4 linked regions of the Xenopus tropicalis genome follow. The protein of the gene in region 2 interacts with the protein of the main gene of each other region in a pairwise test. Links are inferred from orthologs where the notes say so. Each region holds a gene or a part of one and is shown on either strand. Other genes may lie near its edges.

Region 1 (5,039 bases), on a different chromosome or scaffold from region 2:
ACTGAGTTTCAGGCTATCTCCCGCCTACTGTGCTTTTAGCAGAGAAACGTTAGGACACGCCCACCCCTTATTTAAAACATGGGCAGGGACCATAGCAGATCTTTAGGAGAGCTCCAATAAAGGGGCCATTTTTAAAGATCATGATTATTTTTAGCCCAGATTGAAACTGGCACCATTTATTATTCATAATTGCCTAAAAGATTAGGTTTTTTTTAATGATGCTATAGGTGTCCTTTAAATCTTAGCCACCTTAACTTAAGCCAAGAACAAACAATGTTAGCTCACAATATTAGAATATTAGCTTTATTGTGGCCATACACGCACTGATATTAAACAAAACATAGTTTTGTATGATATTCGGTGCGTGTATGGCACATTGGCGACACAACCGATGTCAGAGCGTCGGATATCGGTCGTCTTGTCAATCAGGTGAGACAAATGGTTGCAGGAAAGATCATAATTGTAAGGTGTATGGCCACCTTCAGAACTTCTTAACCACATAACAGCTCAAACAGTAGAACTGTTAGTCAATATTGGGGACAACATATGGCATATGGCTGCAGGTATCAGACAGTAACACAGAAGTCATCCATACTTGTGCACAGCATTTCATTCACTGCATTTCCAAATGTCATGCAGGCAACGAAAAGCCCCTATGCTACTAGCAGGCATATGAAATATGTTCCTGAACTTATCAACTATATGCTGAGCAACACTCTTAGCTAAGGGCAAGTGGTCTATGAGAATAAGGATGGTTAACAGAGTAACACACTAGAATTTAGATACAAAGGATCATAAATGAGGAATTCAGGAGTTGGGAAACTGCTGGTGTCTACAATTCAAAAATACTGTAACAGATATATGCGATTGCTGCCTCTTTCATATAAAAGTAATACGAGTTGAAACAAAGACGTTTAAACCTATGACTAAGTGCCCCATGTAGGCACAAAACTCCCCAGCACTGTTAAAAGGTGTTGAAACTTTTTATGAAATTATTAAGCAGCAATATTTGATTGTGGTCCAGTTTGGTGCCAGTCTATCTTTGTAAAATTTAAACTGGATATCTCCTTAAAGCAGTTCAGTGTAAAAATTAAACTGGGTAAAATAGATAGACTGCGCAAAATAAAAAATGTTTTAAATAAAGTTAGTTAGCCAAAAAATGTAATCTATAAGGGCTGGAGCAGGCAGATGTCCAACATAATGGCCAGATCACTACTTCCTCCTTTACAGCTTTCTAAGCTGTTAGCAGTCAGTAACTTAAGGGGGCGGGGGATGTGGGACATGACTGTTCAGTTAGTTTGCATTTTAATCCGACCTGCATACTCACAAATTAACTGAACAGTTATGTCCCAAGTGCCAAACCCCCCCCCCCCCCCCCTTTCCCTAAAGTCACTGACTAACCAAGAGGTTAGAGAGCTGACATCTGTCCACTCCAGCCTTTATAGATTACATTTTTTGCCTAACTATATTGCAAATATTTTTTATTTTGTGCAGTTTATCCATTTAACCCAGTTGAATTTTTACACTGAACTGTTCCTTTAAGCTGAAGGTCTGGGACAGGGGCACTTTAAGCTATTTAAATGACCACATTCCTCTATTTGTATGAATTATAGAACATTATTCACCTACATGTCAAAGCTTTTGTATAACTGCTTTTTGTCCAATATTTAGACATAGTTGAGGGCCTGGAGAAAAGATCTTAAATGTCACATGTTGCATAGCAATATAAATACTAATATTCTTTTTATAGATTACTAGTAAAGGCAAGACTATTAATTTCCAAACAGATGTATTTCTCTCTGCCTAAAATGAGCCGATGACTGCAAGGTAAGTAAACACTAGGCCAACACATAAGGGCCCATTTATGAAAGCACAAATTTTTATTTTCAGAATTTTTTTTTTTTCTAATTTATAGAACTTTTCATAATGACCACGATAATATCATTAAAACTGCAATACTTTTTCGTTAACTTCCATGAAAAAGTCATATTTTTCGCAAAGACTACGACCATTGCGGAATTCATTCAAGCTTTGGTATAGTGACTATCTTTTGGCCAGGTTGGATCTGTAGAGTGCCATTGAGTCCTATGGAAGGCTTCCAAAATCATGCATTGAAGTTTCAAAGCCAGAAAGGTTTTCGCGCCATTTACGATTGTTTGGATCCAAAAATGTTGTGACTTTCGGATCGCAACCACGATATTTTCTTACGACCGGGAAAAGAAACTGACATTTTCAAACATCAGAAATTATTGTGGTTACTCCACATTTTTTCCAATCGTGCTTTTCACCACCCAAAATTCGTGCTTTAATGAATGGGCCCCTTAGTTTTTCCATGGGCTGGTACATTTTCCACCGAAAAGGAGCAATGGCCTGCATAAAAACTTAGTGATTTAATCAACTCGGGGGGTTCCTAACATTTTGGTACACCTCAGCAAAACAGGCTTTCCTTGTCCTTTAATAAGAACTCGAAACTAACCAGGATATGCAAATGCAAGTATTTCTTTTCAAATATCTGAGAGCTTACTTACAAATACAGTTACTAAACAGCACAAGTGTAGCTGCCAGTAACAACCAAACAGCTTAGAACAGGAACCTATAAGTTACAAAATGAAAGTAATGATACGATTTGTTTTGATATGTAACTGCACTGCCAACTCAACATTTATCATTTTAAATGCCCCTTGATGAATATCCAAAACAAGATCCAAACAAGAAGCACAGGAACAGGAAGTAGCTTAAGTGCAAGAAATTATCCAAAGAACACATTCCCTTTAAGGACAATGACAGATGTGGCATTTTGTCCCCAATGGTTTGCAGCGATGGCAAAATGCCTACAAATTACCTCCGTTTGTGGATAATGAGAATCATTGCAGATATAAAAGTTAAATCACTTAACTGCACAACTAAATTCCTTATCGGTTATTGCCCTTAAAGTTGAAAATGTAATTGTGAGATTGTGTCTCTTCTAACTGGGAACCTATTCCAGATCAATAGCACTCTTCATGTATGATGGTTATTCCCTTAATACGAGCTGCTCATGGAGAGAAATTGTGTTTACATTTTAATCAGGTACAAATACATTTCACCATACAGAACCAAAACAAATGGCCATGAATACAAATACTGTACATAAGTGGCAAGAAGCCTGCGAACACATTCATTAAGATAATAATACTAGTGTCAAGCCTATATTAACCATCCATATATATATAGATATAATACAATCCTGATTATATATAAATAACCAAGGCTTCCAGGAAATGAATGTAAAAGATGCGATGTTGAGCAGTTATCATACCTCCCTCAATACGAAGCGTCTAGCTCGCTAGGCCCGCCCGAGAAGCCCGACTGCAGTAGCGAGCCCGCCCCGCAGCACATACCTGCTTCAGCCTGGACATGAGCACGTTAGTCACTCCGGACTCGTCGAGGTTCCTAATCTTTAGCTCACTTTGGATCAGTCGTAATGGCCAAGGAAGCCATGTTAGGTAGCTACCTTTGGACACTAAGATGCCGCCGAGTCACGTGACGTCGAATGCTTGCGCCGCAAAACCCGGATGGTACAGTCACGTGGGCTGCTAGCGCCTCCCTCCTCAGCGACTCGCTTGTTGTTTACGTGGTGTGGTAGCGCTGATGTGCGCAGGATATTTACCACTAGGAGATGGTGTCAGCTCTCGCTGATATATTTCTAAGAGTATATATATATTTTTCCCAAATGCAACTCTAATTTACTTTTAGGCGTTCCCCTAAAAGTCAGACTTTTAGTTTATGAACCCTTGCATTACATCTTTTAAGCTTGTAAGCCATAGTAAGCTTTACCTCAGGTATGACACTTGTACTGTTGGACCAATAGAACATATCTAGTCCTGGCACTTAAAGGACAACTAAAGCTTAACTTAAGTAGTGCAGAAATGTTGTAAATTATATTTTAAGCTTATGCACCAGCCCAAGACAACTGCAGCCAATTAGTAGGGAATATCAATGCCCCATCTTTTCTGCTGACTCAGGTCACATGCTCTGTGCTTCTGTCACTTCAGGGACCCACCCACAGCATACGGTATATATAAGATATAAATGTAACAGTATAAGGTTGATGAGTAAATAATACAGATTAGTGCAAGGATGTTCTGAAGCCGGTGTAATCTGCATGAGAACAGTAGCATCACCCTCAATGACAGGCAAACATCATTTTCTGCTTGAGAATTTGTGAAGACCCTCTAAGCCAGGGGTGTCAAACTCAATTGCACAGGGGGCCAAAATCCAAAACACACTTTAGGTGACGGGCCGAACAGGATAAACATTTAATGAACACACTAAGGCATACCTCCCAACATTTGAAAAATGAAAAGAGGGACAAAAAGATTTGGCGCGCGCAGCGCGGCAAATTTTTTTGACCACGCCCCCTTTTGTGGTCACGCCCCAATTACCACACCCCATTTTTAAAAAAATACCCCTTTTATATAGATCAAATGGCGGGAGCAGACGCAAATGTGCTATACCCTCATACTGAACGACCTAAGGAAAACAATACAGCAACTCCTACATTAAAATACAAATATAGAGAGAAGGCAGTCAGTTATAAGTGAGTTATAACTAAGTACCAGTTTTTCCCCCCCATACACAGTAGCCCGCCCCATACACAGTAGCCCGCCCCATACACAGTAGCCCCCCCATACACAGTAGCCCGCCCCATACACAGTAGCCCGCCCCATACACAGTAGCCCCCCCATACACAGTAGCCCCCCCATACACAGCAGCCCCCCCATACACAGCAGCCCGCCCATACACAGTAGCCCCCCCATACACAGTAACCCCCATACACAGTAGCCCCATATACACAGCAGCCCCCCCATACAAAGCAGCCCCCCCATACACAGTAGCCCGCCCATACACAGTAACCCCCATACACAGTAGCCCCCCATACACAATAGCCCCCCATACACAGTAGCCCACCCCATACACAGCAGCCCGCCCCATACACAGTAGCCCCCCATACACAGTGCCCCTATACACAGTAGCCCCCCAATACACAGTGCCCCCCA
Region 2 (4,974 bases):
AGCGCTTCCTCCTTCCTGTATCGCTCGCACGCGCATGCGCAGTAGAGTGAAAAGCTGAACTTTAACATAGAAGTCGTCTTTTCACTCTACTGCTCATGCGCCTATTGTGTAGTCACAGCGAAACGAAGCAGGAAGCGCTCCAGGTACCCCGGGCTGGTGCTGTTTCCTCCTAACAGGGGCACCAGCCCGGGTACAAGGTAAGCGATTAAAGTCACTTGGGGGTCCCAACATTTTAGCCTTTCCTTCTCCTTTAAAGAAAGAAAGGTAAAAAAACTAAGGCAACAGGGTAGAAGAGTCGCATGTTATGTATGGGATATTGGGATATAATGTTATTGCACATGCATGTCACTAATTTGCGCATCCACATCTACTCAGCAGCACATATCAGAAGATGATGCAAATGATAACGCTTTATAGAGGATTATTGCATAAGCATGCTGCCACTTTGTGAAGCTTAGGGCCCTATAAATAAGACCACATCCTCATTGCCATACACAGCACCCTTTAGACTTAAGAAGCACTGCACAACTGAAAATGATTATGAACACTAAACAAACATCTGATATTTCAGTAAGATCACTGACGTTAATAGATTATATGCATTTAAATAACCCCAGATATGCTAATAAGATCACTGCAGTAAATGGTTTCAAAGAACTGCATTAGACCCTCAGACATGCCAGAAAGATCACTTCAGAAAATGGATTCGAAAAACTGCCTTAAACTCAGACATGCCAGTAATATAATCGCAGAAAATGTAACACTAAATTAACCACAGATACGTCATTAAGATCTCAGCAGAAAACAGGTTAAAAAAACTGAGGACTGAGGTATCTATCCTGACTGCTTCCAAAGGGGTGCCAAGCTGACCAGGTGCATTTACCCTGCCCAGACTCTAAAGGAGGTGGGATAAACAGCTGTTCTGTCCTCAGAGTATTACTATCGTATACCATCTGTTGGTGAGTATTTGATCTAACCCTGCATTGCTACTTGTCTTTGACAATAAATCTGTGCTATAGTTTAACTGCAAGAACCTGCGTCTATCTTTACTAAATTGCATTGCAGACAGCTACAGTGAGTTGTAGTTATACTACACCCTAGCTCTGCTGGTCACTTCCATCTAGCAAAGGCCCATCCTGTTTAAGAGAGTCACATGTAGCCCATGCTCTAATACCTATACTAGCCTGGGTTTGACTATTTTATAGCCAAATAGCGGCTACATAAATTATCCCTGTCAGAAATGATTGAGTTACACTGACCTATTTCCTTTTGACTGAAGCAGTCATTAAGCAACAACTCTTCTTCTGTGCAGTGACTAAACCTAACAGCGCTCTAAAGCTGGCCATACACGCACCGATACTAACGTACGAAACGAGGTTTCGTACGATATTCGGTGCGTGTATGGCATGTCGGCATGTCAACCGATATCGCAGGAAGCTGCTGATATCGGACAACTCGCCGATCGGCCAGGTTAGAAAATTTTGATCGGGCACCATAGAAGGCGCCTGAGCAAAATCTGCGGTCAGGGCTGAATCGGCAGAAGGAGGTAGAAATCCTATTGTTTCTACCTCCTTATCTGCTGTTTCAGCCCTGACTGTGTGTGGCGGATCTGACGATGTTTTGTGCGACCATCATCCTCATATCGCCACGTGTATGGCCAGCTTAACACAAGCTCAGGTTGCAGCGAAACAATCACTACAAGTCCATGTCCTGCACACACAGACTATATTTGCCTTTAATGCCGCACTGCGCATGCCCAGAAGGACAAGCGCTGAGCCAGTGCGCCTGCGCAGCTTTACTCTCACAAGGGCGCAGGCAGTTCCTTGTAGATGACGTAGAGTCACGTGAGCGGTAGCGTCGCCCAAGAGGGAGGGGGTGGGTTTCCATCATGGCGTCAATGCAGGTGAGTGTTATTAGAGTTTTAAGCGGAGCGACCCGGATCTTCGCGGCTGGCAGCGGAATATTACCGGGAGTGGGAAGTGGGCTCTATGGAGAGCACTGCCAGCCGTGGTTTGTGGGTTTGTTTCTGCTTCTCGTTACTCCTGACATTCTTTTCTGGCTTCCCTATCTGTGTCCTCTGCAATTACCTGCCAGCTTCAGGGAACCTTCCGCTCAGAACGGCTCCCCTTGTCTCCGTGGGGATGCGGCTTGGCAGCTCACCTGTATAGCTGGTGTGGGAGGTGCGACGCTCGGTGTGCCAGCCTGCTAACTTTACACCCCCCCTTCCTATCGATAGCCTTGCCTGCCGTAGCTTCTGGGAATTGTAGTTTGATAATAGCTGGAGACCCATAGGCTTGACAGCTCATTGGGAACATTACATATTCTCCTCTGTACCTTCAACGTTCTGTGCGGTGGGTCAGGGCTTCTATAAGTACTTTATTTTATAGCTGAATCTGGGGCAGGAACTGGCTGCTATTATGTGTAGGGCAGGGATCAGCCAGCATATTCCATTTTATTGTGTGGGATATGAATCACCCAGCATGTTCCATTTTATTGTGTAGGGTAGGAAATGCCTGGTTATACTGCATCCCCTTCCCCCTGTGTAGGACATTAAGTCCCTGTTATGTTCCAGTTCTTTTACTTGGGCAGTAATTATCCAGTTTATTCAAATCCTTTCCAAAAAGACAGAACAAGCCGGCATTTTCCCTTTACTCCTGTGTATCATTGGGATTGTTATTTTACTTCCTCTTTATACTTTGTGCAAAAATTGACTTTGTTTTTCACTTACCTTGTTTTCTCCATGTAGGGCCATAAAATAAATATTATGGTTGTTTGACATTTATTAGACATGATCTGTCCTGTATTTTGATTCTTACACTGATTTGTGGGATTATCAGTACGTGTATGCAGCCCTGACTGGTATCTATGTATCATGGCTATCAACTGGTTCTTTCATCGGAGGTTGGAAAGTTTCATATGCCGATGCATCAAGTTGGCCGGTGTATGGTGCATAGATGAAGAGCCAGAGTTCCTCTTAACTTACTGATGTTCCGAGCAGAGGAAGAGAAAGGTAGCAGTTACATCTATGACCCCCTTATACAGCTATCTGACTGTTTGGCTGATATTTTGGATACCATCTTAATAATGTAGAGAAGAGCTCTATGGACAGAATAACTTTAGTGAATCTATTAATGTCTGTTACAAGGCCCCTGTGTGCTGTTTATCACATATTACGTTCTGTAATAGACATAAATAAATTCATTAAGCAGTTATTGTGCCTGTTGTGATCTCCTCTTCATTATTAAGATTATGTGAATAAACGGCTCCACCTTTTGGGGATCGATGCGCCAAGCCTGCAAAGCAGTAAGGCTTGAGCGTCTGAGCGCCTATTGTTTGATTCATTTGGATACCATATTGGATTGACCTGTGAGACTGTTCACTGCAGTAGTTATGGTAACAAAATATTTAGAATTGCTAAGAACCTCATTGCGTTATAGTCAATTGAAAATTCCATGGGTTTGAAACACCCTGGATAGTCAAGTGGCAGCTCATACACTTGGAAATTATATACTTGACAGTCAGTTGGAATAGTCTGTTCTAGTTGGAAGGAGACATTACCTGTTTACCCTTATTATTAAATTATTTGGAAGCTTAGTCATTGATAAACCTGGTACATTATCCATATAATTATTTAAGGTTGGTGTTTAATACCGCTTTAATGCAAATTACCTTTCTTGTCATATTGACTTCTTGATAATGTCATTTATTTGATCATATTCTTTCTATATCAAGTTTAATTAATGATCTCTTTTGATCTCAAGGATACTACTTACTTGTATCTAAAGTAAGTTTGTGCATTGATCTGTGTACCTTTCAATATAGAAAGTATCTTTAACAGTTAAAATGAATTAAAACAATATATTCTTTGTAGTTTATATTACATTATAATTTTCACTATAGTTACCCCTTCAGCTCAGGTGCCATATATTATAAGGAAAAGGGCATCTGATAAAACAGTGATCAGTACTTTATATGTCCCTTTTAATAAATGTTTCCTGCCGAACAGTGTTGTAATGGTAGAGGTTGTGCTGAAGGCTCTTGGTAAATGACAGAACTAGCATACAGGCTTTTCCTCCTCCGGGCCCCAAACACAGGTGATTTTCCTGATCCTTTTATGTGGGAGTTAATGCTTTTACTTTTTCAAGGTTTTGAGTTAAATAAAGTTAGTCATGTAGGTAGAATATGTTGTAAGTATCTTGTAGTGTAAATAAAAAATGTTTATTGTGATGTGCAGAATTTGGCTTAAAGCCGAATAGACATGTTTCAACCAACAAGAGGGCCAGTCAGGACCAGTGTCTAGAAAAGATAACCCAGCTGATTTCCCGGGACACTATGCTTTGTATAGTTTGTATGCTTCTGGCCAGTACACCAAACCTTTCTTGGTTCTTAAAAGGAGATTATCCACTTACAATATTGGTACGGTAGGCACTTAGCCTTTGTTAATAAACATCACAGTAACTAGATTTAGAAAAGCAAGAGCAACATAACTACAAAATAAAAATGTAAAAATTGAAACATATAAGACTTGATATGCTCTAAATATTGTAGCCATTAGAGTAAACACACAGTGCCACCACCCAGCCTTTAAAGAGAAGGATTTTTGAAGGTCTGTAATTTTATTTAATCACCTCTTACCTGTGTTACAAAGGCATAGTATGTAAGTAGTATTGGTACACAGCACTTAAATGGATGTATTAATGGAAGAATTGGCTTCTATTTACTTCAAGGATGTCTGACAAGTAGCTGTGTTTAAGCAACAACTACCAGGAGACCATCGCAACACAACAGAAAGGACAACTTACATATTGTTTGGGTTATGGAATGTTAAGTCACATATAGCAGGACACCGGTTTTTGACCTGTCCTTGCATTCCACAAAAGGGACACTATTGCTGATATGTTTGGAGCTGGTATCTATGTATTAGTATATTTACTGATATTATAGGATACAAGCACTGGGCCCTTTGCCATCTTG
Region 3 (5,101 bases), on a different chromosome or scaffold from region 2:
AATGTATGCCATTTGGGTGAGGAAGATGTGCCCAGCTGATATACATTGTACTAAATATTTGCTTTATTTGTGCTTTAAAGCAGAAGTTGTTTTTCCCTCAAAGAAGGGACATAGTGACATAAAAGCACCTTCAGGCAAAAGTATGCAGTTTAACCTATAAACATGAGCATGAAACCAATTCCTTTATCTTTACCTGCACATCTATCCTTTCTTTACCCTGCAAATTATTCCCCTAATGGCAGGCACTAATGTATTGCCTGTTTTCCCATTAAATAGCATTAGACTTGGCATTGCCTGACTGCTAAGTGCACAAGTATAGTATTGAGAATAAAATTTACTAAAACCATTCCCCTAAATCCAGCAGCTGTACAAAGAGACATTTTGGCTACTTAATCGGTTAGCCTTTAACATTTAGCAATAACCTTGATGGAAGCAAAGAAAGCACGTAGTCTAAGTGGGAAGAAATAATTATAGAGATGCTTATAACGGAATGTGGTACTTTTAAGACCATTACTTTCAGAGTCTTTATAGAATGCATGTAATTGTATTTGTCAGACACCGGGATGTCATTACTAACAAAGTGAAACATTGTCTGCCATTTGTGCTTTATGCTGCAAAGGTGTATTGGTCCTAAAATATCTTTGCTTCTGACATAACTGAATTAGACATTTAGGTTTTGCCCTTACCACCCACAGACAACCTCACACTCTATATATTTTCCCCATGGCAAAACTGGAAACCAAAACATACAGTAGTTCTCATCAAATGTTTCCTGATAATAAAGAGCATTTTTATCTTCATGGAAATTCAACATATACATTGAAATGATATTTAACAACTTTTGTTAAACAGTGAATGAAGATAATACAGTTTATGGTCCCATAGCAAGAAATGTGTTACACCGAGGTAATCAGTAACGTCAGAGACACACTGTTGTGCGCTACCACATCATACAATCATTAAGTTGTGCGCGATCACATCATACATTCATTAATATTTACTGACATTATATGCCACCATTGTCCAAAAAATAAGTTATAGAACAATGAACTATTTAAAAACTCAGCAGGCACGTTGAAAGTAAGGAAGTTCATGCATTTGTGCATCTTTGGAATTGCCATAACAGATGTCCTGCAGTGGCTTAAAAGAAGGCAGTCCTGGTAAACATTTCAAAATATTTAATTTTTCACATTTTCTCAACCTATTTAAATCCTTTAGGTCAGTGTAATCCAAGTCAGTGTCCAGCATAGTGATAACTCATTGCAGGATGGTCAGATATAGACATTTAGAGTTTGCAGAATCATCTGTCTACACAGTGGGCAGTTGCGCTGATGGACAGGCTGCTGCAGAAGGATCTCTGTGCAGGAGGCACAGAGGCATAGGTGGCGGCAAGGCAAAAGGAGCACAGTTTTATTTTCATCTTGGCAAATAACACATTTTTTGCTCTCTTCCTGCTGCTTCAGTAACTTCCATGGATCTTGCGAGGGCTCTCCTCTCTTTGTGAATGCTGAGCTGGCTTGAGGAATGTGTGTTGCAGGTTGTGTGTTCTGTACCCTGTTAGGAACTGTGCTCTGAATAGGTCTCAAAGGCGGATTTTGCTCTCTCATGGGAACTTGGTTCCGCTCCCTTATTCGTGCTGGATTCTGCACAGTGGCAGGCCTAGCAGGTGGATTTTGTATCCTGGTTCTTCTCAAGTTCCATCCTCTGACCAGGGTTGCTCCATATATTCTAAACATTCGTATTATCTGAGCACTTTTTGCAATAACCCTTCTCAAAACCTCACAATGCAGCAGTGACCAGGCAAGCACAAGGGCCATGCGGTATATCTGAATTACTTTCAACTGAAATTGGCGTACAGCAGGGGAAGGTCTAAAAATGATTCTGCAAATAATGGCGAGAAGCAGAAATATAAGAATCTTGTACAGGTGTTGATAAAATATTATTCCTACTCCCCTACTAAGTGATGCAAAGCCATCTAAAATCAGTTGACAAGGCGTCCACAAGAGAATTGCCACTGCCACAGCACTGTTGGAAAACTGAGACAGCAGCATAAACATTAGTTCTGCTCCCATTAAGATGACATTGACCATGGAAAGCCATAGAGCCACTGCAGCTGATAAAATGTTTTGGATGGCAATAAGACATATGTTTACCAGGCTATTAACCAAGTAAGCTGCCAAACCTCCAGTGATACTTAATGCTTCCCAGAAATTCCTGTGAAAAGTCTGTACAGAGAATGTGATATTCAGCAGCCCTCGATGGATCAGCTCCCTACTGCGGAATAGTAGGTGGCACAACAAGTTCCATATCAACTTCAAACTGTCTAAACCAGCAAGGCATCCCCATAAAGCATCCACTAATGTCTGCACTGTGCCCAGTGCAAGGCTGCAGGAAGAATCACCAACCATAAGCACAAATCCCAATACAGCTTCCCACAACTGAAGAATGCCATTGGTCAGGGTCCAGGGAAGGTTAAAGATAAAGCAAATGGTCCAACACAAAACTGATACAACAGAGGAAACAAGCATGTAATTTAAGTCCAGCAACAGGAACAACATGTCCAGGGTCCAGCCAAGCCCATTGAGGAACAGAATGATTCCCTGCATGTCTGAAGAAGTATGAAGCTGTTAGCGGGTGAGACATAGGGGAAAGAATTCCCCTTCATGGACATGCCATTTACTTGGATCTCCAGGGCCAGATAATAGGCAGTACTTCCATCATAGTTATTTTCTTCTACTTCCTGCAATAAAACATAAGCGGTTTAGCTATTAAACATAAAATGTTGTATTGCTGATTTTGTTATAATGCAGTGTAGGTATATAAAGATTATGGCCCTCCAACTGTTCTTAAAGTAGCAAATCCTTTTTGTTTGTGGGTGGGGTCGACCCGAAGCTGCCCGACCTGAGGGTTAACTTGTGGGCACTGGGTCGGCCCGCACATCACTAATGGGCAGATAAGCTGCCAAATCGTTCTGACGGGCCCAAATTGGCAGCAGAAAGCTGCCTGTGTAAGACCACCTATACACACACGGAATACAATATGGAACCTTGTTTCGTACAATAATATTGGTGCATGTATGGCCACCTTAAGGTCAATGTTGTGGTGGTTTAGTGTGAACAGAGAAACAACTGTGGCAGTCCATTATTGCCGTCAATGGGATACACAACAAAGTGCAGGCTTTTCGGAAGGCAGGGCAGGAGGTCACCAACAGCTTCCCCCAGTCACAACAACCGCCATTTACCAGTTTCTGATATAAAGCATCATTATGAGTAATGCAAACAAACGTGCGGTAGTTATTATTACTTGGTAAGACTTGGGAAATCTTTGGCATCAATACCTTAATACCTACTAAGGAAAAGCCATACAGCACAACCACTCATTCCAGTCTTACCAGAACGGAGCAGTGAGGACAAAGAAAACACAGACATCTCTTACCAAATACAATAAGGAATAAATGCTTGGCATACCTGCAAAAGGCCAGATTTTACGACACTCACTTCCGTATAGCTGTTTATATGTCCCGCTCCTTGGCTTCTATCGGACGCGCTCACAATTGCGTCATAATCTCGCGAGATTCCGACGTCGCGATTTTCACTTATACATCGGTAGTAACGCGAGGTGCGCCAGTAGGGGGCGGGAGAGTTCTAATGCAGGCATATGGCGGAATGCTCTGCCCACAGCTCTGACTTGTGCCAGGGAGCAGAGAATAGAAACTGGTGTTTAGCAGCAGTACGAGCCGGCACCACGACCTCCTCTTCCAGTATTTTACCTAAAGCAATTCATATTTATTTTTGATTGCTTGAACTCCTGTTTGTGCCAGGGGTCAAAGATAAATACGTTATTTGACCCAAGTGCAATTCATTTGTTTTATCTGCTTGGAGATTGTTTCCTGCCAGGGAGCAAACCACAAAAGAACTTTGCACCCAATATCTTCTATCGCCAGAGTCTCTGCCCCCGAAGTTTCTGCCACAACAAGCATTTTTAAGCTTTCTGACGCACTCTTAATGACAAGCAGCTATATGGCGGTTGTCATGCCCACTTTCTGCCCATTTCTTGCCTCCATGATGTCACAATTATAATGGCGGTAATTTTCAAACAATGATTTATTCCAGTGCAAAAGGCACAAATATCAAAGGTCAGTTACATTTTGCTGAGGCTAAGGCCAATGGCACAGGGAAGATTAATCGCCCCATGGCAAATCTTCATTACCACAGGCAACTAATCTCCACGCAATGCCATCCCATGATTTCCCGAATCTTAGCAACGCATATGCCATCCCACCGGCGATTTACATTGTTGCCGGTGGGATGGCATTGCGGAGAGATTTGTTGCCCACAGTTATGAAGGTTTGTGGTGGGGCGACTAATCTCCCCGTGTGCCACTGCCCTAAGTATTCCTGCAGACAAGATACCCAGCCACTTGTGTAGACCTTGTGTGCTCTCTGGAATAAATGCAGCCTATGTGCTTGAACATCAATATTTTATTTTAGGCTTTTTTTCTGCCAGGTAGCAAAAGTGTTATTTTCACAGGTTTTAGCAGTTACTAAACAACTTTAAACTCATACAGTACTGTAAAACATTTTGCATTTAAAGGAGAAGGAAAGGTAAAAACTAAGTAAGCTTTATCGGAAAGGTTTACGTAAAGGAATGCGTGATCTGAGCTATAACGGCTAGACTGCAAGGAGGAAGCTATGAACACTAAGCTAAAATGGCAGCTGCAATCAGAGAAAGCTTCTAGGACTCTTTACTCAGGAATGATAAAGCTTGCTGCCGAATAAATATAGTGTTCTAGGTGGCACTAATGTGGCAAATCTATTGGCAGTAAAATGCCAAAATGACTTTCCTTCTCCTTTAATGCATGTCTTTGCTAAAAGTTTGAATATCACTATAAATTAATAAAAAGATGCAGAAAAGAACACTGTACATAGCTGTATTGTTCCATCTAAAACAAAAATCTATACCCTTTTAACCAGGATCTGCACCTTTTACATGTGTTTCTGTTGCACAATTACAAATTCCTCATTCTTGTGCATATGAGGCAATAATGGTGATGCTGACCTTCCTAAGATAGTGCCTGTGATCACAAGATATGGGGGAAACTT
Region 4 (5,109 bases), on a different chromosome or scaffold from region 2:
CATATTGGGCTACCTCTGGTTAACAGTAAGGCATAGTGGTAATCAGTATTCATTAGAATTAGCATACATTTCCTGAACAATGGTCAATGTGTAAGAGTTTAGATAACACAGTACTGTACTACCATTATTAAAACATATGTGATCTTTAAAAGTAACTTGTCCTTTCATTGTATTTTCCCTTTTCTGTGATCAACAACTCTAAAGAGCTTTCCTCCCTGGTCAAACACATCATCCTGAACAATTTGCCAAATACAGCCAGCCCTTCTTTCAAGTTACCATTTTTGCAGACTGCACTTGTTGATTGGGAGCAGTTATATGAATTAATCCATGCACAAGAGTACAACTGAAAAACAGCAGTCTTTGAGTTACTTACTACCAGTCATACGGGGAACTTTTTCCTCAGGGCTTATCATATCAGTAAAATATTTTATTGCGGGAGACTCATCATCATATCAGTGAAAAAATTTTACTGATATGATAAGTCCTGAGAAGTGCGAGATTTTCTTCATCGGTGGTTATGCATATTCCTTGACTGCACCCAGGCGAAGTATTCTTCTTACACGTAAGTGCCTGCCTTTTCGTATAGAGAAAGAGCACAGACTGTGCTCGAAACGTTGGCTTTTTTTCAATAAACACTTTTTCTTTTACATTAAGTCTCTGTGTGTGAAGTACCCGTTCTTTATATTTTATGTTTTACCTGCACCCTCCCAGGGCATTTGGTTTAGTGAAGGGTGTGCTCCTCTCTGTTCATTATATATATATATATACAAAAAAGAACAGAGCACACCCTAATAATAATCAAATGCCACGGGTGCTTGCAAAAACCATGTGTATAGCAAGATCTTTTTCATTACATTTTTTTGTTTTCTAACAAAGTCCCTGTGTGTGCGGCTCATTGTCTTGCTATATATATATATATATATATATATATATATATATATATATATATATATATATATATATATTGAAATATGGTGAGAAAATTTAATAGGCCAGTAAGTATTATTTATACTATCTCTTCGTTAAGTAATCATTCTGGGGGTATAGTTTTCCTTTAAATAGCCACATGTCCTATATGGAGTATATAAGGATGTTTATGATTAAAATTATCTGTACTATTGAGATTTATCCATTTTACATTCATGCTGCTGGAGTGGAATTTCCGTTATACTCCTTCATGTGTTTAGATATGTTTTGTATTTTTTTCTGTTACAATAAACTGATCTCCATGTAACAGGTCTCTATAGTGACATATGAAAGAAACTATACAATATATATACAGTATATCAGTTCATATAGTGCCAGCACTCTAATGCATAAAACCAAAAAATGGAGTGCTGGTGTATTATACAGTGTAAAATTTCTCAGCATTCCATGAGTATGGATTGATATAAATGCATTTTAAGAAAAGAATAACTGACCCTACAAGCAGCAAGGGGAAATACCTCCATTCATTTGGTCACACTGTTTGTACAAACATGTATAAACTCAATTTGTGCCAGTCCTAGACTTGGGTGGATTTTCATTAAGGCTCCCCAAAGTTGCCTAGCAATAATAATAAAGAGTAAACTTGACATATAACATATACATCTCACTTCTCCCCTCCCTCCTCCTTATCTAACTGTGTAGCCAGTGTGTGGGCCTGGGCATCAGGCCCCCCATTCTATCACATAAACAAGATTTTGGCATGATACAAAGCTTGCCTTAATAACAGTGTCCACAAAATGGTGCCTGCCTGCTTGCTTTGATTGAGTAATTCCAAGACGGAAGGAAACAAGCTTTATATTATTTATATAGAGTAAGTAAAGTTTATTTTGCTCAACTAACAATATAGAAAATAATTTGGACTTATTTCTTAGGGTGACAGGTCCGCTTTAAAAAAAAGAGTCTTTAATACAATTTAAGTTTAAAAAAAAAAAAAAAAAAAAAGAATCCAAACATGACCCAGAACCTGAACACCTGCTAGTTCCATTCGGTTTTAGATTCACTTTAAAGTCTGGGTCTGAATCTTACATTTTACATCTCACAGAACAACACGTAGATCTTTTATCTAACTGTGCATTGTTCCACTCTTCTCTTGTTACTTGTAGTTCAGCGTGCATTATAGTTGGAAAAACCTAGCTAGTGATAAGCAAGTATAAAACAAACCAAACCTGAACTTAAACCATCTTTTTTGCAACATGCACCAAAATAATTTAAAGGGGGCAACCAAGTTACTGACGCTAAGCACTAACCTGAACTATAGCCAGGGAGGTTAAAAAAAGTTAAATGCTGAGGAATATGGGTTTATTCTGTGCTGACTTTGAGGAGACTTGCACATATGCAATGTAATAAAATCCTAAAGACTTTGCACTAAATCTTACACACAGGTTGCCAAAATTGCATATTAGCGGGTCAAAAACATTGACTTTCCTTACTCCAGGCTTGAAAAAGGCAGGACATACTCCACCAATGTCTTTAAACTAACTGAAAATTAAAAATGAAGGAAGTCGAAATCACGTACAAAATACTGACTGTGAAAAGAAAGCCATTTTCAAAAAATAAGTTAATTGGAGGGACAATGACTTATCTGTTTTATGATATTTTTGTGGACAACTACTCCATCTTGTGGGAAAATAGGATATAGTAGGATATATAGGATATTGCAGCCAGTGCAGCTGCAGGAGACCCTTTAGGTCAAAGGGACCATCAACCCATATAAATGATTTTCTTTTCTCAAATAATGTTTTGCAATATTTTTCCAGCCTTACAGCTTCCATGGTTCCCAATGGAGGGGTCCTTAAACTTTGCAACCTGTGTCAAATTTAAGATGGTGAGGATGCTTATTTAGGAATTAAGAGGACCTATACAATCTCTAAGGCTTTCAGCAGCAAATTACACATAGGCAAAAAAAACAATGAATCTGAAGTTTTTTCAGTTTACTTTGCAACACCACTCGGGTGGCCAGCTAGACAGCCCTGAAAGCCAAGGGTGAAGGGAAAAAGGGAAATCAAAGGGCACCATTATGGCAGGAGAATGAAAAATTTATAGAATGAAGAAGGGATGGGGAGTAAGGGGAGTATTTTAGTAGGAGTATGGAGTAAAGTGAACTGTAGATGCCAAAGACTGTCAGAGAAGCACACACTGAATGGATGGAAGAAAGAATAAAAATAGGGGCTGCTCTACCTACCAATATATGTAAGTACAGCAAGCATTCCCCATATTTCATTAGGGACTGAATATATTGTTCTTTCTTGCTGTATGTATGGTTTAAAAAGGAGTTGAGTCTTGAGAGGGGGTTGTGTGCTGTGACTCCTAATGGCAAATGGACTGCCTTGATCCCAACCCATTGATGTTCTGTTTAAAAAGTGGCAGAATTGCAAGCTTTGAGTTAGTTAGTACTATGAACACGGAGGAATATCATGTAAACATCTAATCATTGTAAACATGTAAACTTTTTATGTACCTCATTTTAATGAATGTAGTCCAGGCCTCCCAACTGTCCCTATTTTTGCAGGACAGTCCCTCCTTTAACAGCTCAGCCCACAGTCCCAGATTGTTACTGAAAAGTCCCTCTTTCCCCTTGATCTCCTGCACTGAGTTAAAAAAACAAACTTAATTAAAAAGTAGCTTTTGGCAGAGAGCCCAGAAATCTTAACAAGCTTCACCTGCACTTAGATCCATTGTTTCTCAGACTTAATTAAATAAGTGGGCTTTTGGCAGAGAGCCCAGAAAGTTAACAAGCCACACCTGCACTGAGATACAATTGTAACTAATAAGCTAAACAGGTCTCTTGAGGGAATTGAGACTTGCAGCTTAAAGGTCAATTTCACCTTCATTAGCAAAACTGTAGTAATATATATAACAAGACCCCAAATCCCCAGAAATGTGTTCAAACTTTTACTAACCTGCCAAATTTAGTAAAATAGGAGTGGTATTTAGAAGGTATGGTCGCAAAAATGGGTGTAGTCAAAAATATTTTGCCATGCTTCGTGCGGCATTTCTTTTTTTCCCATTTTCCATTTTTCAAATGTTGGGAGGTTTGGTAGTCATGTTTATAAAAGCTGTTTTAGTACGCTATAGACTGCACACTATGAGGCAGGAAGTCTATGTGCATAGACGGTCACAGTCATGAACAAAGACTTGTCTAAAAAAAACTTTACTCCTTATCAGATAACCAAACCTTTGCTCACATTCGATATGTGGCAGCAATCAATAACTCCACAACCTGGACTGCTTTCAATTTACTTGGATGGTAAATGATACTGGGTGAGCGGCAACAGCTTCACTGTCATCACAGATCACAACTAACCCCTTGTGCCAAAGCCCTTAGTGTTACTAGAAAATAAATCTGCTCAATGATTTTTTTGCTACATATATTTATGTGCCAGTGTGTGCAAATGTTGCATTACAATGGCCTCATTCAACACTAACTCAATGAATGAGGCGTTTTATTAGCCTACTTTTTGCCTATTATAATCTTAAGAAATAGATATGTTTATTATTTACTAAACAGGGCAAAGACAAAAGTAAAGGTTTCACTTACCAGTTTGCTGTAGTTATCAAATTTCCAGTAGATTATTGTAAAACTCACATTTAAAACACTGATTGTTGATTGCAAAATGAAGAAACCTTGTGCACCATAAAAAAACACTTTATTGCATTCATTTTTAAAAATGCAATTTCTTAACAAAAAAACTCTAATTATAAAGTAGCTTGCATGTTAAAAGTCCCTCCCATTTACTTTAAGCGAAGCTCACCAGTTTTGTTTCAAATTTGCAGTAATTTTTAATCAATAAATCTCAAAATTTTGAGTTTGGTAAACATTTAAAATATGTAAATTGACTTTTTTGCAGCATTTTTTTTAATCACTAAAGCCTTTAACTTCCTTAACATTTGGTCCTGGAGTATTTGCTTAATTTGCTTCCCCTTAAATGGCAGTAAGAAACCAGCTGTCTAAAGGCTTTTATTTTATTAATAAAGGGATGCAGCAGGGCTGCCCATTGTCCCCTCTGATATTGTCCTTGGAGATCTTTAGTACAGCAAAAAAAAAAAAAGACAAGAATTATAATATAAGCCTCTATGCAGACAATTTGCAGCTGACACTTTGCCATCCCCTCATTAGCCTGC

Evidence for each region.
Region 1: the proteins of ube2w (region 2) and rnf111 interact in a two-hybrid assay, tested with the Homo sapiens proteins (2 studies listed by BioGRID and IntAct). The link is inferred for Xenopus tropicalis from reciprocal best matches to the Homo sapiens genes UBE2W and RNF111.
Region 3: the proteins of ube2w (region 2) and rnf26 interact in a two-hybrid assay, tested with the Homo sapiens proteins (2 studies listed by BioGRID and IntAct). The link is inferred for Xenopus tropicalis from reciprocal best matches to the Homo sapiens genes UBE2W and RNF26.
Region 4: the proteins of ube2w (region 2) and pstpip1 interact in binary tests that used the Homo sapiens proteins (3 or more experiments, as listed by UniProt). The two-hybrid records come from large-scale screens. The link is inferred for Xenopus tropicalis from reciprocal best matches to the Homo sapiens genes UBE2W and PSTPIP1.

The regions. Positions count from the first base shown.
Region 1 is NC_030679.2:99,170,599-99,175,637, reverse strand, and holds the start of rnf111 (E3 ubiquitin-protein ligase arkadia), read right to left. Parts: upstream 3,544-5,039; 5' UTR 3,381-3,543; exon of another isoform or gene 3,299-3,380; intron 1-3,298. UniProt on the Homo sapiens protein: E3 ubiquitin-protein ligase. Required for mesoderm patterning during embryonic development. Acts as an enhancer of the transcriptional responses of the SMAD2/SMAD3 effectors, which are activated downstream of BMP.
Region 2 is NC_030682.2:121,373,369-121,378,342, reverse strand, and holds the start of ube2w (ubiquitin-conjugating enzyme E2 W), read left to right. Parts: upstream 1-1,845; 5' UTR 1,846-1,888; coding exon 1,889-1,903; intron 1,904-1,940; exon of another isoform or gene 1,941-1,988; coding exon of another isoform or gene 1,989-2,018; intron 2,019-2,803; exon of another isoform or gene 2,804-3,010; intron 3,011-4,974. UniProt on the Homo sapiens protein: Accepts ubiquitin from the E1 complex and catalyzes its covalent attachment to other proteins.
Region 3 is NC_030683.2:80,169,577-80,174,677, forward strand, and holds rnf26 (RING finger protein 26), read right to left. Parts: upstream 3,544-5,101; 5' UTR 3,468-3,543; intron 2,741-3,467; 5' UTR 2,607-2,740; coding exon 1,272-2,606; 3' UTR 1,162-1,271; downstream 1-1,161. UniProt on the Homo sapiens protein: E3 ubiquitin-protein ligase that plays a key role in endosome organization by retaining vesicles in the perinuclear cloud.
Region 4 is NC_030679.2:90,439,708-90,444,816, reverse strand, and holds the start of pstpip1 (proline-serine-threonine phosphatase-interacting protein 1), read right to left. Parts: upstream 3,544-5,109; 5' UTR 3,446-3,543; intron 1-3,445. UniProt on the Homo sapiens protein: Involved in regulation of the actin cytoskeleton. May regulate WAS actin-bundling activity. Bridges the interaction between ABL1 and PTPN18 leading to ABL1 dephosphorylation.